Drosophila melanogaster: one gene and its partners. Changing the gene in region 2 together with the main gene of any one other region gives a genetic interaction. Each region holds a gene or a part of one and is shown on either strand. Other genes may lie near its edges. The genes, in order: ey, dpp and ptc.

Region 1 (3,755 bases), on a different chromosome or scaffold from region 2:
TTCTACTCATATGCTATGTTTGTTATCGCGGTACTCACAAAACAGTCAGAAAGAACTCTATAGTGCCTATATCTTAATATACCCTTGGAGACATTTTGCCCGCAAATGTATTATTGATACCCGCCTACCCAGACTTCCATCCCGTTAACAGCATATATATGTAAGTACATGTATTCCAGATCTCGATCACTTACTGAATCGACGACCTAGCCAATCTCCAAACGAAGAGTTTTTTATTGGCGATTCTTGCTATTATTAATATATGGGTGTCGAAACCCTCGGAGGCGGTCTGCATCTGAAGCAGACTAAGCCGAAACGGAACAACTTTTTGCTCCACGAGCATGTGCCGTGTCGTTGGCACGTGCCACGTGGCGATTGCTTGGGCTGCGTTCCATCCTCAGCACCAGTGCGAAGATAATATGATGATAGCAGGGCTGATTCAGCTTCCTGCGGGGGACATACTTTCATGTGCTACCATGTAGCCTAATAAAAACATTTGTTTCCTCCACCTTTAGGCGTTTTATGATGTAATCTGTGCATATTAAATCTTGAATATTATAAAGGGATATGGCAATCGGATCAAATGAAAATGATTCAGTCTTACCTGTAATAATAAAAATTACATGTGCGAAAGTAAGTTCAAACATTTTATAGTCAATGAAACGCCCAGTAAGTTAAGTATTTAGAACAGTTGCGCGCCTAACATTCTCACATATATTCAGATATCGATCGTGCGTGCATTTTATTCATAAAAATGTCAACGGGCTTGGTTAAATTGTTTAGTGATTGCTAATGTTTTTAAAATATGTCAAATATTTCAACCCCAATTCTTTCAGATTTGCTACAAATTTCGACAGAACAAAATTAAATATTATAAATACAATGTAGAACTATTGCAAGGGTACATTAAAAACATTCTGGAAGTGACTTAGAAGTAATATGCATTATTATTACATTTCACTTTTCAGAAGTCATAAGGACGTTATAAACCGTGTGAGAAGAACTCTTCGCATTGGAGAGCCCAATTGTATTGGAAACAGAAAAATTGGCCGGATATTGCTGTTGAATTTTGTGAATTGCACTTAAATCGACATTATCCCATACAGTCGTGTAGGTGCGCTATAGTTTTTTAATATTTCTCTAGAGGATTTTGAAACATGGCCTTTTAGCCATAACACTGGCCGTCCCTTTCAGGCTATTGGCAACTCGTTCTCTCGCTGTGCGGCGCAAAAGCAGGACAGGAACTTCCTCTTTGGGGCCCACCCAGCCTCCACATGTGACGACAGCTTATGGGATGGTGGCTGGTGGGTGTGACCGTGCTTAGGCTTGTCGACATTTTACTAAACAACCGTACGCCCACACCCAGCTCCCCTCGATATGGCTGTGTGTGTAGGCTCGCACTGCCGAAGCGGAAACGTGCGGGTAGTTAACGGAAATGTGAAGCGCTTATTGTATCGGAATGAAACAATTCCATTGGACGAGTGTGCTGCTGGCAACTTGTCTGGCCAGCTTGAATTCAAATGGAATGCAACATGTGTGTAATTGCTGGGGGGGGGGGGGGTGTGGCACTGGGCGACTTCTCGAAAGGCGGTGAAAGCGGCAGGCGCTGCACCGTTTACACACAGTTTCTTGCTGGAAGGAACAACATCCAGTTCCAGACCAGCACTTTCATGTCTGTTCAGGACCAAACCATTCCATTATGTGCTGCTGGTCCGTCTAGAGTTGGTTCTTCCTTTATTTTCAGATTCCGTTGCCACGATATGCTTAACGACACAACGCAGCTGCAGAACTGCACCGTGCCGAATCGCTTTCATCTTCCGCCAACTAACCTTACACGGGTGCGAGAGGGACAACTGGTGTGCTTCAACAACCAATCATGGGGCTAGCCTATAGCAAATGGTGGTGAGTGGACCAGCCATGCTGGTCTTTGCCAATCGCACGCGGTTCCGTGGCAACAAACCCAGCCTTTTGCGCAGGGGGGTGCTGGCCAGCCGAGGGTCGGCCTAGTCTGTTTCTGAAACGGATCCGGGTAGGCAGGTCGTGACATTATTATTTCGTGTTGCGCTTCTAAGGTAAATACTGTTCCGCCGCCGTGTCGCGAAGTTTAAGAAAGGTTGTTCGATTCACCGTGCGTATTAATCTTTATATCAAATGAAATTACCGGCTAAGTTAGCAATCGGTAGACCCGGGAATAATACGTGTTACGTGCAGTACAAATATGATGCTAACATGAGTGCAATCAAAAGTGGCGTTCGAAAAATGAACAAGTGAACTAAAACAAAAGCGGCTGCTCAGTTATATTTGTGTTTCCGAATTCGTAACTCTTAGGTCCTCACGGCGCGATCAACAATAGGTTTTTTGATCACTGCAGGACGTCATTCTCACCATCTGCGCAAATTTACTCTTAACTCTTGCTTGACTCGCCCTGCAAGAGTTCGCACGGCGTGCGTTTGGCTGAACACAGCAGTCTCTTGGCTAAAGCTTTCATGAGCAGTGCATGTAATAAAAACTGAGATCCAACTATGTTTACATTGCAACCAACTCCAACTGCTATAGGCACCGTGGTTCCCCCATGGTCAGCGGGAACATTGATAGAGCGCCTGCCGTCTTTAGAAGACATGGCTCACAAGGGTAAGTGAATTTTTTAAATTTCTTGATTGGCATCATCGTCTTTATCCGACCCTCTTATAAATATATATGAGTCTTAGCCAACACATATGTTAATGCTGCCCATGGGCAGTTGATCCGGTCCTACTAGGCGAGTGCAGTTTCGTTCGGCTGTTGGTCTCTTTTGGCGCAGTTTACCAATAGATAAAAAGCTTCTGAACTGAATCGTTTGCGAACTCTTCTCTCAAACTCAAACTCCCGAGAGTAAGACGGCTTTATACTCCGTATAAATTGTCCAAATCAAAGATATTCAAATCTTCGCCGTGACTCTTATAATTCGAAAAACCTATATTTGTATTATACCCGTAGCTTGTTGCTAATTTGTATTTAAAGTAGTTAGTGGAAGGAAGAGTTCCCGGCTAGTCGATTTTCCGATGACCGTTGGCATGTCTGTCCGTCAGTATTGACGTCGAGACCTTTGGAAGCGAAATAAGTAGGAATTATGCAAATTCCAGTAATGCATACGCAGCTTAATTTTATATTAAACCATTGTCACTCACTCACATTGTAAATTACAACGCAAAGGCGTTTAATGATCAATGGCGTTCCTACGGGCGTATCTCATGCTATCCCGCGCGTATATGATTATTGAGTACTTCATACTAGCTGACTCTTTCGTTTTATACAAATTTGTATACTCGTTACTCATAGATTAAAGGGTTATTAGATTTTTTAAATTTAAAGTATATATATTCTTGATCATGGTCAATCGGTCAATCTAGCCATGTCCGTCTAGCCATGTCCGTCTGCATGGACGTCGAGTTCTTAGGAACTATAAGAGCCAAAAGATTGCAATTTCTCGTTCACACATGCAGCCCAATTACGGGTATTTGATAGTCAATAAACCGGACTATAGCTCTCTTTCTCCTGTTTTAGCTCATAACGCTAACTGAAAAAGATTAAGCGCCTCCTTCTAAAAGCCCCATAAACGGCCCAAGTAGTCTATGGTATATATTCGTTCATACTGGGAACTTTTTAAACTAGTTCTTTTAAGTAATAGCTTAGGTCAAAAGTGATATTCTAGTTGAATTCTTTAACCATTTGGTTGTATACCTAGCTATGATTTATCCGTTTGTATTCTTCACGAC
Region 2 (3,755 bases):
GACCTATTAGCATATCGGGCTGGAACATGGCAAATTTAGTGGCAACATTGTTGCCTCCGCGATAAACGCACTAAAAATCAAGTCTTCACCTTTATTACCGCATCGAAGTGCCAGCGTTATGGCAATTCGAAAAAGAATAGGAAGCGATCGTTACTTATAGAAAATATAGATAAATAAATGTGCAAAACGCCAATCGATTGGCGTACATTTCATGGCGTTTACCTGATTGTTGTGGCCAGCCCACAGTTAACTTAATTGCCACTTCCCAAGCGCTTTATTTACGGAAATACTGACGGCTAAGCGACTATTTTACACGCAGAGAAATGAAGTGCAATTTAGCTAATCAGGTAATAGGCAGGCATTTTTACAAAGTGCGTACTTGTTTCCCATAATCTTTCGTTATGTTGTAAGGATGTTATTCCTTACTTTACAACATTTTCATTACATAATGGAATTGTAATTGATTTGAATATCTATATTTCTCTGGGTGCATCGACTGTGTGAAAGTGTTGTCAATGCTGCCGCTTGGCCATAGCCTACAATCGCGATTGGCTGATCGAGTTGGAAAGGAAAATAGCAAGAAATCATAATAACAACAACTAAAATTTTCCATAACCTTAAAAAATAGAAAAAAAATGAGGCAGCTATTTATAAAATGCGCAATCTGCGAGATGCGTGCGGCAATCTGTCCGTCGGTCCGCCGATGCCGCCAGCTGTGTGCCAAGATGCCGCTGGCCCCCCGAAGTCCCCTCTGTGGAGCCCCCGTTGGATCCCCCCTTGGAGCCCCCCGCCGCACTGCGCTGTGTTGTCTGCGTTTATTGATTTATTAGAAAATTCCAATGAACAAGTTTTAATACACGACACACGGCGAACGATGAAGTCGATGTTGTCAGCGTGCTTGTTGTGCTTTTTCTGCTCCTTGGCTGCTTGTTTTGTTGCACTTGTGTTCCTGAGGCAAGCACAATATACGGGAAGAAAGGCTGTGGGAAAGAGACAGAACAGCCGCTGGTAAAAGTAACAAGTGCAATATTTTAATTACATCAGCGGCAAGAACAACAACCAGATCAGCGGCATCAATTGAGTTTGCTGCATGGATTTTGGGCAGCTAGCGTTGCCAGATGGGCACACGAGGCGTATGATTGATATGGTGAGTAAGGCTTGGGGAATCATAGTATCAAGGCCTAAATAACAAATAAAACATTTTGAAGGACAAACAAAATTTTTAAAAATATTAAATAGATCGATGAGTCAAACGGAGCTCATGTGTGTGTTATCTGCAGAGCCTGACTTTTGTGCTTCGATTTCATTAAACTCTCACTTTGGCATATCTCAAAACGATCTAGCTCCTATAACTCGAACAAGCCGAACAATCCGGCAACGCCGATCGACTCGAAAGATTGTCTGCTCGGGACTCTAAGCATTTTGCAATCAATTTAGATTTGCATTAGCAGCGCTGCAGTCTCGAGAAGTCCGCGACTTAGTCCGAGATTTAGAGCCAAAAATAAACCGAACCAGTTGCGGCAGCGCCGAAAAGTCAAATGTGTAACAGCTCTGTGGCTTTGGCTCGAAGAGAGACTTGAAGAAAGTCAAGATATCGCAGCTGAGACAGAAGACAGAAGACTGAACACTAAAGACTGAGGACCGAAGACTCTGTGTTGACTGTAGACTGTGGACCGGAGACTGTGGACTGAAGACGGCGACTGAGAGAGCTGAAATATTGTAATTGTGAGTCTGGCTTGTTTGTTATTGTTGCCTTAGCGGTTGCTTGTTGTTTTTTTGGCTTGATTAATAATTAATCGCACTCGCACACACACACACACACACACATACTGCCTGTTTTAATTACTCAACTTAAATGGCGCTTTGAGCGACTTAAGCAACTTGCCATCGTGGTCGGCAGTGTGTGTGCGATTGACTCTCACTACTACGAGCTCAAAACTAACTAACTAGCTTGTGTTGCTGTTGCTGCTTGTGTTGCTGTTGCTGCTGTGCTGTGCTTTGCTTTGATGTTGCTGTTGCTGCTGCTCGGCTCTGCTTCTGCTTTTGCTTTTGCTGCTCCGTCTCCGGATCGCTTTTGCCTGCCTGCCTGTTTGCCTTGCCTCGGCCGCTTTGGACGCTCATTCAGTTTTTTGCGCTCAACGCTCGTTGTACGGAACCGAAAAACGCGTTCGTTCGTCCACAGAGTGTCGCCAAATCGAGGCGAAAGATCGCTGGTTACAACCGAATATACAGCCTCTAATCACTTTTTTTCTGCTCTGTAATCGTTCGCGGTTTCTGCGGCCATAAAATAAAGTAAATCCGAGTTAAACGCTGATAGTCGCGCCTGAAGAACCACAGAAAAAACAGAAAATATCTCCCGTCGTTTCTCGTTCTCGTTTCCGCGATCGCTCGTCAGCCAGCCAAAGCCTCTCCGATTTTTGATACCGATTCGGTATCAGATAATATATTCGTAACCATCGCCATTCTTGCGAGTGTGCCAGTGTGAGTGAGTGATGTGTCTGTGTGCCAAATCCAAATCGAAAATAGCCAAAGTCTGAGCTTGGCCACCATCGTCAGCAGCAAACATGTGAAGTGCCAGTGATTTCCATAAGCCAAAATCGAAGTCGAAGTCGAATCGAATCGAATCGAAGCCACAGCGAGATAGATAGGTCGAAAGTATTTGAGTGGATATCCGAGTCGAACCAGTGTATAATGTATGCGACGTTCGCGAACTGCCAGAATTGGTTGTTGTTGCAGTTGCAGCCAAAGGATTTGTGGATTTTGGAGCGTAACTGAGCGGCGTGCAGCAGGTGCACCAGGTAAGCCAAGCCGAGAGTGTTAGCAAATAATGCGCATACGCCATGGTGGCTGCGTGTCCAATTCGAGATCAATCGAATCAATTGAACGGCTGTTAAACAGCTGACTGGGAAAACTGGAACTGGGTGCAATGCGTGAGTCACATACACATATACATATGAATACAATGCATATAGACTGGCTGATTACTTATGTATATAAATGTGAAAGAAATAAATACATGTAACTCAGAAGTCAGTGGATTATTTCTGAAACAATAGCAATTGCAGTATATTATGTTCATTTTCTTCAGAGACTTTAGCACTGTTTAGATTTCTAATGATAAACTTTGCAACCATTTCACTTTTATGCATTTACATTTATGAAGACACCTAAAAAATCTATATTACTATGAGGAAATCTAGTTTGCTTTAATAAGTTTGCCAATAGATAAGTCCCTTCCGCCAACTTGATATCACTGCATAAAGTTTCGACAGATTTACGCCAGTATCCGGGGAAAAAGTGAAATTCTATCTCTGGACCCCGGACATTATCAGCAGAGACATGTGGAGATCGGGTGTCACTTGCATATTCATGGGGGCCAAGTGATGAACTGAATTAACGGCATTCCACACCAGTCACAATTAGCGGCTGACACTGACATTGGCCATGGTAAAAAACCCTTTGACCATATGCCATATACTCGTTAATTTATGACGCCATTTGGCTAATTGAATAATTATATGTGACTGGCTGGGCGTGGCTGGGCAGGGCTTGCTTCGCTTAGCTTTGCTTTGGTTTGGTTTGATCGATCACGATTGCATAAGCCATCCCACATGGGATCGGAATCAGCATCGAAATCTGAATCTAAATCTTAATCGGTATCTATATCGATTTATTCGATTTGCCTTGCTAATGCGACTGGGGGCACTAAATCAGTGTCAAAGTTCACCCCACTAGGCTCAATTAGTTTATTAACT
Region 3 (3,755 bases), on a different chromosome or scaffold from region 2:
CTTTTTATCTCTCTTGGGGAATTGGAGCTGCATGCGAATTGAGCGACAGCAAAACGAACTGCAAGTCATTGAGAGGAGAGCAAAAACTCGAGAGCAAGCCAAAGATGGCGCAATCTGGGGAGAGCGAAATAAAGCTAAAATATGCATGTTGGAGAAAAAATGCCGCCCATGTCGCCAAAATGCGCCACACGCAGAGTGAGCGGGCGGAGGTGGGAGTAATGGAAAGGGCGATGAGGGAACGATTAGCTTGAAGAGAGAGAACAACAAATGAATGTGCTGCAACGTTAGTTCAGGTGAGCGAGTTAGAGAGAGAGTTGTTGTTTTTTGATTGTAATAGCTCGCTTGGTGGTGGGTCCACATTCACATCTCCCTCTCCCACTCTTTCTCCCCGAAAGAGAGAGCGGGAGCGAAGGGGCACGAGGGGAGCACGATGACTATGCAGTTGCATTCAATTTGAATTTCCATGGTGCTGATGATTCGAGCGCCAATTTTTTCGAAGAGTTCTTATTTGTTTACTTCGTTGTTGTTGCCTCAATTGGAAAGGGAAAATGTGGAATGCGGAGAAACACCAGAAGCAAATGCATTTCCATTCATAAATCCAAAGAAGTTTTAAAGATAACATGTCATTTGGCTTAAGTTCGTGGTGCACAAAAAAGATCGGTTTGCGGTTGTCGCATGAAAATGAGTTTATTCCATTGGTATATTATTATTCAGAAATTAAAAAAAAACTTGTTTAGTCTATTTTTTTTTTTTAAATAAAAAAAAAAAATTCTTTTATAAGTCGATTTTAGAGTAAATATTTAAAGACTACGTCTAATAAACATATAATTTGTTCTGTGTTTTAATTTGCCGGCAAAAACAAACCTACTTGTGTGGTCCTCGCACACTCATAACCCCTCGCATATTTGAGATTCATGGGGCAAAGAGGCTGCAAAAACAATGGAAAGGGAAAAGCAGAAACATCCTGCCGCTCATAATTTAGCATCGGAACATGCAAAAACAGACATCATCGCATGGGGCAGCAGCAACAGCCATAAAACCAACAACACGAGCAATGTAAAGCTAACAAATTTGCCAACAGTTCGCGGCACGGCTACACACACACACATGCATGCGCAGCCTGCCACGCACGCGCTTCCCCCAAACAAATACACACACACACACTGAGACGAAAGCTCCATTGGGCAGCGCTGCCGACGCTGAAGGCCGACATCGGCAGAGCTGAACGTTTGGGTAGGGGACCACCCACATCGCTTGGCGGTTTCAGTTTAATGAAGGCAGAAACAAATTTATTTTTGGGTGGTCCACACTGCAGCGAAAATAAACTACAGTGGCAACAACAAACCAGCAGCCAAGGCACTTTGGGTGGTCCATGCAAAAAAAAAACAAATTACGGCATGCGAATAACAATAGAAATTAGCGCTCTCGTGGCGGAGCTATTTGGGTATATTAGAGCTACATATTTTATTTGTTTATAAAAAGTATAAATGTAAACAATGAGTTCCAAGCATTAAGTCCGTATGCTCAACAATTACATTATCATTATTATTATCACTTAAATATTTACAAAGGATATTTAAACAGTAATAGATATATATTTTATTTCTTAATTTCTGTTAACATATGTATTTACATTGGTAGTTATTCTTTATTTTGCAACAAGCATTCATAAATTTTATATAACAAACTTGGTATTTTCTCGGAAAAACTCCTGAATCACCCCTCGGTATTTTGTGCGTTGAGCTATCGTTAAAGCAGCCCTCGCAGAGAGCGTTCTCAAACCAAAATGGCCGCACACGAAACAAGAGAGCGAGTGAGAGTAGGGAGAGCGTCTGTGTTGTGTGTTGAGTGTCGCCCACGCACACAGGCGCAAAACAGTGCACACAGACGCCCGCTGGGCAAGAGAGAGTGAGAGAGAGAAACAGCGGCGCGCGCTCGCCTAATGAAGTTGTTGGCCTGGCTGGCGTGCCGCATCCACGAGATACAGATACATCTCTCAGACTGCGTGCGATCCTCGAACGAAACGGTTGTAAGTGCGGAGCGCGACGACTTGTTATTCGTATTTCCGACTACTGGCACTCTCTGTGTGTGGTATACTAACAAGATAGATATCACAGAACTCGTGGAAAAGCTAAGATATTGTACCTCACGGATGCGAGGCGAAGTTCATGGATTAAATGCCAGGCAACAACAAAAGCCAGCCAACCAGCCAGTGTTTGTGTGTGTGCGTCGCCAAGTGCAAAGTAAAGTAAAGGTAAAAGAGCGAAAGGCGAGAGAGAAAACCGAATACGTGAGTCGTCCGACTGCCGCTTTTCCATGTGTAAAAGATCTGTGAAAATTCTGTCAAATTCCCCTGAGAAATTGTGCCCAAGATAAAACCCGAAAACCGCGTTTTAATCGTCGAAAAAACCCAGCAAAAGCGAAGCCAGCAATCACAACAAAACAACACAACGAGAGCTCAGATACACAGCGTGCTCAGTGAGTGAGCGAGAGAGCGCGGGAGAGAGCGTCTCTTGATTTAAAATACAAAATAATTAAAAATAAAAATGCGGAATGCAGTGCAAAATGCAGCCAAACAAAATACGAGATTCCAATAACAATTAATCGAACCGAAAGTCCACGAACAATCCGCACACTGTCTCCCAAGTCTCAGTTCTCAGGACGCAGACGAACGGCAGGCACTGTAGAAAGACCGATTCCGCAGCACACTCCCATCTGCACATCTCCGCCACGCGATTCCGTCCGGAATCTGGCTATAAACATAACCATAATGGACCGCGACAGCCTCCCACGCGTTCCGGACACACACGGCGATGTGGTCGATGAGAAATTATTCTCGGATCTTTACATACGCACCAGCTGGGTGGACGCCCAAGTGGCGCTCGATCAGATAGATAAGGTGAGTGCCCAACTACAGTGAACTTTCACTGTGAAGGATAGCCATGTGTTGAATTCAATAATATTCTTGAATCGTATTCGGAGGATCCTTTATAAGTTTAAATGGAAAATCTGGCTCTTTCGAAACTTTTGTTAGTAATCCCTTTTACTTTAAATTAAGCAAAAGATTTGAAGTATTAAGTAAATTTACAATCTTTTTAAAATTTGAAATTGTTATATTGTACAATTCTTGTCATTAGAATATTGAGACACTTAACTAAAAACCATGATGTAGAAGTTCGACTGTAAATCCGAAGAGCAGCGGCTTTTGTTTAATGCGGCCATTAAGTCGCCGGGACAGATTTCAATAAATTTTATTGCCAATATCTCTCGCAATATTTTTCGCGTTTTTTTCGTCGCCGATGTCTTCTTCGCCGGTCGTTTCGATTTCATTTCATTCGTTTCGTTTTCTTTCGTTCGATTCCCTGGTTAATATAGTTGTCTGATGTTCGCTTGCCAGGCAGCCTATTAATTACAGTGATTAGTTGAAATCCACGCCAATCGGCTTATATGCTAATTTTGCTATTTCGTTCTCTGGACATAAAAAGCGTGGAGGATTTACCTCCAAATATAGACATTTGTTTATGAAACTATTCGCCGTAAAAGTAGACGGAATAACCCTTTCGCTGCAGTCTAAAACTACAACAAATTGGATGTTTTACCAATCTTGTTAGTATTTATTCTCTGTGCACCGCCATCAATCCACATCTATTTTCGCTGCGCAGACGTAGACACACAGCAGGACTTTCGTACTCGTTTCGCCGATCCCAAACCGACCGATCCAACTCCAGACGGACATATCCACAGACAACTTCATT

Evidence for each region.
Region 1: of dpp (region 2) and ey, changing one enhances a phenotype caused by changing the other (phenotypic enhancement), as found in Drosophila melanogaster (3 studies listed by BioGRID).
Region 3: of dpp (region 2) and ptc, changing one suppresses a phenotype caused by changing the other (phenotypic suppression), as found in Drosophila melanogaster (3 studies listed by BioGRID).

The regions. Positions count from the first base shown.
Region 1 is NC_004353.4:702,643-706,397, forward strand, and holds the start of ey (eyeless), read left to right. Parts: upstream 1-2,008; 5' UTR 2,009-2,522; coding exon 2,523-2,631; intron 2,632-3,755. UniProt on the Drosophila melanogaster protein: Involved in eye morphogenesis.
Region 2 is NT_033779.5:2,426,253-2,430,007, forward strand, and holds the start of dpp (decapentaplegic), read left to right. Parts: upstream 1-2,119; 5' UTR 2,120-2,798; intron 2,799-3,755. UniProt on the Drosophila melanogaster protein: Required during oogenesis for eggshell patterning and dorsal/ventral patterning of the embryo.
Region 3 is NT_033778.4:8,647,652-8,651,406, forward strand, and holds the start of ptc (patched), read left to right. Parts: upstream 1-1,997; 5' UTR 1,998-2,770; coding exon 2,771-2,899; intron 2,900-3,045; exon of another isoform or gene 3,046-3,402; intron 3,403-3,599; exon of another isoform or gene 3,600-3,755. UniProt on the Drosophila melanogaster protein: Segmentation polarity protein. Acts as a receptor for the hedgehog protein (hh). Associates with the smoothened protein (SMO) to transduce the hedgehog signal leading to the activation of wingless, decapentaplegic and patched itself.